Callithrix jacchus: one gene and its partner. Each later gene encodes a partner of the first gene's protein in a complex. Links are inferred from orthologs where the notes say so. Each region holds a gene or a part of one and is shown in the gene's direction. Other genes may lie near its edges.

Evidence for each region.
Region 2: NUP43 (region 1) and NUP37 share a complex: the UniProt entries of both Homo sapiens proteins name them as parts of the nup107-160 subcomplex of the nuclear pore complex. The link is inferred for Callithrix jacchus from reciprocal best matches to the Homo sapiens genes NUP43 and NUP37.

The regions. Positions count from the first base shown.
Region 1 is NC_133505.1:156,504,999-156,507,770, reverse strand, and holds the end of NUP43 (nucleoporin Nup43), read left to right. Parts: intron 1-37; coding exon 38-267; 3' UTR 268-2,266; downstream 2,267-2,772. UniProt on the Homo sapiens protein: Component of the Nup107-160 subcomplex of the nuclear pore complex (NPC). The Nup107-160 subcomplex is required for the assembly of a functional NPC.
Region 2 is NC_133510.1:105,138,210-105,141,866, reverse strand, and holds part of NUP37 (nucleoporin Nup37), read left to right. Parts: intron 1-568; coding exon 569-641; intron 642-2,450; coding exon 2,451-2,545; intron 2,546-3,657. UniProt on the Homo sapiens protein: Component of the Nup107-160 subcomplex of the nuclear pore complex (NPC). The Nup107-160 subcomplex is required for the assembly of a functional NPC.

The DNA.
Region 1 (2,772 bases):
CACCTTAAATTTTTTTTCTTTTCTTGTTTTCTTTCAGGAGGAAGAACCAGTACATTTTTGTCTCATAGCATTAGTAACCAAGCTAATGTTCACCAATCTGTCATTAGTTCCTGGCTCAGCACGGATCCTGCAAAAGACCGAATTGAAATCACAAGCTTACTTCCCAGTAGGACTCTGTCTGTGAACAGTTTGGATGTTTTAGGTCCTTGTCTTGTTTGTGGAACCGATGCAGAAGCAATTTATGTTACTAGACATCTTTTTTCGTAGAAGTACTGTAATTTTAAGATTTCAGGTAGAACACACAATTAGCCTTTTGAAATCCAACATCTGTGCAAACTTTTATTATCAGAAAATATGAGATTTGCAGGGGAAACATCAATAAACTGCCATTAATGTCAATGCCCAGTTTTGGCTTTTGTTAGCCTGACACTCCCACAACAGTTGTAGAATCCGTTGGATGACAGAGGGCAAAAGATTGTGAACATGTGCAAGAAAATCAGTGGGATCCTGGTGCTGATGAATAGGTTGCCTTCAGAGTATTATTGACAGCTCATGGGACTAGTTCTTTGTTTTAGATGTGGCAATTAACACAACATCAGTGGTGGTTATGGGAACCACCAATGGGTTCCTACAATGTTTATCAGTAGTATGTGGAGTATACGCCTCCTAGTGGCAATTGTCAATGTTAACAATTATTCTTTTTATTGCAAGTATTTCCTATGATCCTTCCACACTTTATTTCCTTAATAATTATAGTAAATGTTTTCAGAAAGAATTGAGTAGAGCAAAAATAACAAAGATGTATAGCCATGTTCGAATTTTTTTTTGAGACAGATTTTTTTTTGAGACAGTCTTACTCTGTTGCCAGGCTGGAATGCAGTGGTGCGATCTTGGCTCACTGCAGCCTCCACCTCCCGGGTTCAAGCAATTCTCCTGCCTCAGCCTGCTGAGTAGCTGGAACTACAGGGGTGCGCCACCACACCTAGCTAATTTTTGTGTTTTTTAGTAGACATGGGGTTTCACCATGTCAGCCAGGATGGTCTCCATGTCTCGACCTCATGATCTGCTTGCCTCAACCTCCCAAAGTGCTGGGATTACAGGTGTGAGCCACTGTACCTATCCTGAAATTTTTTAAAGATGAAAATGTTTTGACAAGTTCCTTTTTCAGAATAGGTTTTTGAGCAGAAGTCTTTCAACTCCTTAGACCCAACTTTATTTCTGTTGAAAAGGGAACAAACACAACATTTTTCCTAAGGAATTTAGCTTTTGTTTAGCTTCACGGCATAGTTGAAAATTGCCAAACTGGACATCGTGTGATAAAGTAGAATTTCATATTGATAAGCAAATTGACTTCCAAACTAAAATTCAATGCTTAACAAGTGTGATTAATCAAATGATAATATAATCAGAGTGAAGAATTGTGCCATTTTTTTCTTTTTTTTTTTAACCTTTGTCCCCACCCCCCACCCCCCACCAGAATTTTGCCATTTTAATCCTTTTGTTTTAGCCACCTATAGTCTTATCAGCCATCTTTATTCTTGTCTGCAGAGATAATAATGACCTAATGTAGTGTTTTAAGATACTTTAATGATACTATCTTTCCAAAATTTGTTAGATATTAAATGTGTTATTGACCTGAGACCTTAATGATAAATCAGTACTATTAGACAATTGAAGTGTTTATTTACTTTATAATTCCAATAATCATAATTATGGAATTATGATAAGGTTTTGCTTTTCTGTCCTAATAAATATTTTCTTTTTCTTTTTTTGAGACAGAGTTTCGCTCTTATTGCTGGAGTGATGATCTCAGCTCACTGCGACCTCTGTCTCCCAGGTTCAAACAATTCTCCTGCCTCAGCCTCTCCAGTAGCTGGGATTACAGGTGTGCGCCACCAGACCTGGCTAATTTTTAATTAGTAGTAGAGAAGGGGTTTCACCATGTTGGCCAGGGCTGGTCTGGAACTCCTGACCATAGGTTATCAGCCCACCTCAGCCTCCGAAAGTGCTGGGATTATAGGTGTGAGCCACCACACCCTGCCTATTTTCAATTTTTTTAATGCCACTTTATCTCAGGGGGTTTTGGGTTTCTGATCTGTCTATAGTATTATTGCTGGGACTAATTTTTTAAAGACTTTTTGTTACTAAATAACTTACAGAAAAGAAAGTTTTAAGTACTTAGAATTTCAAACAGACAATACTCTTCATATCCGTTTCTATCCATCAATGTATATAATTTCTTAATAAAATGAAATATACATATATATATTATCTTTGTGGATGCATGTTCCCTAGCAGTAAACACATTTTTTCTATTATCATTTTGAACTGCTAGTTAATATTCTAAGCTGTAGGAGTGTGTACCATAATTTATTTCAATTGGTTGCCTATTATTGATTATTTCATGTTTCCAGCCTTTCACCGTTATGATTCCCACTATAATACCGGTTTGGTTTAATTTGCATTTCTTTTAAAACTTGCTTTTATTCTTAGCTTATATCCTCTTCATTTTTTGAGGTAGTTTGGCATTTTCTTATTTGTAACATCTTTTTATATGTGGTTTTTTTTTGTTTGTTTTTTTGCCTTTGGTTGTATGATACAGGTATTTTTTTAATTTAGTTTTTAGCTTTACTTATGGGGCTTTTTTTTAATCTTTATTCTGTTAATTTTTTTTTTTTTTTTTCCTTGAGATAGAGTCTCACTCCCATCGCCCAGGCTGGAGTGCAGTGGCATGATCATGGTTCGCTGCAGCCTGACCTTCTGGGCTCAGAT
Region 2 (3,657 bases), on another chromosome or scaffold:
ATGAACTACTGAAAAATGTATCTTAAATGCTTAAAGTATAAATAATACTCCAACCTTTAGCAAGTATGTCAGCTCTTATAGGTATAAAAATAGTATCTTATATAATCTGATTTATTTGGAGAAATAGAAAAACTAAGGAGACTGGATAAACTATGGATAACAGAAGAGGGCAAAGACTAAGGTAGATGTGTAACAATATTTTTAACATCTCTTGTTGACTGGCTAAAATGAAGATACTTTTTAAAATCTATCCTTTTATGCTTTTAAGAAAACATTTAAAATTAAATTCAAGTGCTGATTTAGTGTAAAATTCTATACTTATTATTGAAGAAGCAAATCCAGAATAAACTAAACTTTTATATGTTCTCTCCTACTCCTACTTTCTGTGATGTCTATGTAATACTTTTTACAGTGGAGCCACAACATTCTTCTTTCTTCCTCCATAAAAAGCAAGATTATGAGTTACTGATAACAACTTCAGTGACCTGGAGGGAAAGATCAGGGGAGGGAGAGACCTTTCCCTTCAAAGGCTGAAAATTGGAATATTTTTGTTTTTTATTGCTTCCAGATTTTGTACTTCAGCTGCTGATTTGAAAATTAGATTGTTTACTTCAGATCTTCAAGATAAAAATGAATATAAGGTATGTTGACAGCTATACAAATCTTTAGAGTTTATTTTAACACATGTTTATTTTTTGCTGTTTTAATTGAATTTATCCCAATTTAAAATGGCTTTTTATGGTCATCATTAAAGTATATAATTTAGGGTCTCATTTACTCTATTATAGGTAATAGTAACCAGGTTACTATATTAAGAACTATATTCTTAATAATGACTGCAGATTATAAATCTCGTATCACTTATTAACTTGAAATGTTAGGTAGGAACAACAAATAAGAAAGAATTAGAAATTCAAAGTTGGAAATATTAGGAATATAATCAACATGAACATCCATAGAGTAAGAGTTGAACTTCAAGGGAACAAATGATCAGCACAGCATAGCACAGGCCAGATTCCAAAGTAGTTAAGAGCACAGACACAGAATCCAGATTCCTTGCATTTAAACCTCTGTGTTATTACTTAGTAATGGTGTGACCTTGGTTAAGTAACCGAATCTCTTTGTGCTAATATCCTCAGCTGTAAAATGTGGGTAATCATAGCAGCTGCCTTATAGAATTATCAGCGTTGACTGAGCAAATTCATATAAAACACTTAGAATAATGCTTGTTACACAGCAAAACCCATATGTGTGTTTTCTATTACCATAATAATTACCCTCAGGTTGGGCTGAAATTCCATCATGTTTTCTTATAAGAATGGTATTGCCTTGGCTTTCTAATAAACCAAAATATGAATATTGTTATAAAACAAAGATAAATGAAACCTTTCCAATCATTTAGAAAATAGTAAAAAATTATGCTCTAAGCTATTTACAATTGGCTTAACCTATTGTACAGATTGGCTGATTTAAGGCTATAACAAAAATAACCAAGTATATAAATGCACATAAAATTTTGACCTATCCAAAGTTAAAATGGTAGTTATAATATACATTAAACATTCACGGTTAATTTAGTTTGCCTTGTAGGCTATGACAGAAGCTTTGGAGAGTGATTTGGAGGACCTGGGTTGGTGAAAGTTTTCAGCAATGTTTGACCCAAATCTTTTTTCTTTTTTTCATGTTACATTTCTACATAGTTATCAGTACTATACAGAACTGCTCTAATAACCTCAGAATGAGATCAAATTTGAATTTTTGGAAAGAAGGAAGGGTAGAAAAAATGATAATCATTAAAGTAATTATCTGACAGGCCTATTTAGGATTTCAACCATGAAGATTTAGACAGATTGAACCTTACCTGCTCACACAGTCCTCTACCATGCAACTTCTCATTTGTTGCTTCTCTGTCAAGGCAAAGATTTTTGTGTTGATGATGACTATAGTCTTACAACAACTAGCTGTCTTCACTGCTGGCAGTCACATTGAACATGTAAATGAAGGCATTAGATCGTGAAGTCCATCCTGTGTGTGTTTGTTAAGTAGTAGTGAGTATACAGAGCAACAGTTATAAGGTAAAAAACCTAGAGGCACTCTACCTCAGTACTCCTAAAAAGTTTTCTAGCTCTAATTTTTATTTAAGCTTTATATAAAAAGTGAGAAAGGAGGTGATATGAGGACAGGTACAATAAAAATGTATGTGTGTTTTTGTAAGAAATGCATACTAAAAAAGAAAGACTAAGCTAATAGTGTGTTGAATGATCAATTTCTTTCCAAGATAGACCTTCCAAAAAGTGGGTGTATAAATCATGCTTTAAAAATAGCAGATTGCTTAAGAAATATTTATAGAAAAACATGCAGTGAAAGCTTTTAAGGCAGTGAAGCAAAAATATTGTGTAGGAATATTATAGATTTTCCTGTTTTCTTACTAAGTTTTCTCTTTCTGTCAGGTTTTAGAGGGCCATTCAGATTTCATTAATGGTTTGGTGTTTCATCCCGAAAGTGGCCAAGGAATTGCAAGTGTGAGTGACGATCATACCTGCAGGTATGTTGCTTATGTTATAACCACATTTGTAAATTTTCATTTTATTTTAATGAGAATTATATTTTTTGAATGAGAAAAAAATGTGACTTTTATATAAATTCTATAGAGTGTTGTAAAAGAAGCATACCTTATTTGAACTGTAGGTATGACACAAACATGAGTTTCAAAACCAGTGAGTTGGGTCCTCGTCGCCGTTAATGAAAAGTTCCCTTGCCTCCCTTGGGTGTCTTTTATGTCTTATTTCGGATTTTGACATTTACGAAATCCAAATATGTATCGGGCTAGGCACAGTGGCTCACACCAGTAATCTCAGCTCTTTGGGAGGTCAAGGCAGGTGGATCACCTAAGGTCAGAAGTTCACGACCAGCCTGACCAACATGGCAAACTCCATTTCTACTAAACATACAAAAATTAGCCAGCAGTAATGGTGTGCACTTGTAATCCCAGCTACTTGTGGGGCCAAGGCAAGAGAATCTCTAGAACCTGGGAGACTGAGGTTGCAGTTAGCCAAGATTGTGCCACGGCACTCAAGCCTGAGTGACAGAGCGAAACTCCGTCTCAAAAAAAAAAAGCCCAAACATATATTGGATCAAATTCCCCAATACTGGACAAGATGCGTAGGAATAAAATGCAGTTGTCAAGTTACCTCACAGAGCCTATATAAGTTAGTGTTTAATAATGAACTCTAACTCTTATCTGCTACATAAGACTGATGGAAAATTTAGTGTTTTGATAAATTCAGAGGTTTCTACATAAGGTTTTATGTAGATACAATACATGTCACTATTTTGTTCTTGTACCCCACCCCCTAACTTAGGACAGATGAGGTAGCTATAACATTTTAATAGTGCCTAAAGCTGGAGAATATCACAAGTAAAGAACAAGATGAAAACAATAGCGGGTTGAAATAAGCTGAGCAGTCAGGAGTGAAATGAGTGCGTCAGTCATTGGAAGGGTGTCAGTTGCTTCATTTGCTTTAACAATACTTTGAGGAAGCAAAAAACTGCTGCTCTGCTGTTTTACATAATGTTTTATAAAACTGTGCCAAAATCCTTAGTATTTATTGGTACTTATGTACATATAAAACTATTAAATATGTATGACTTCACATT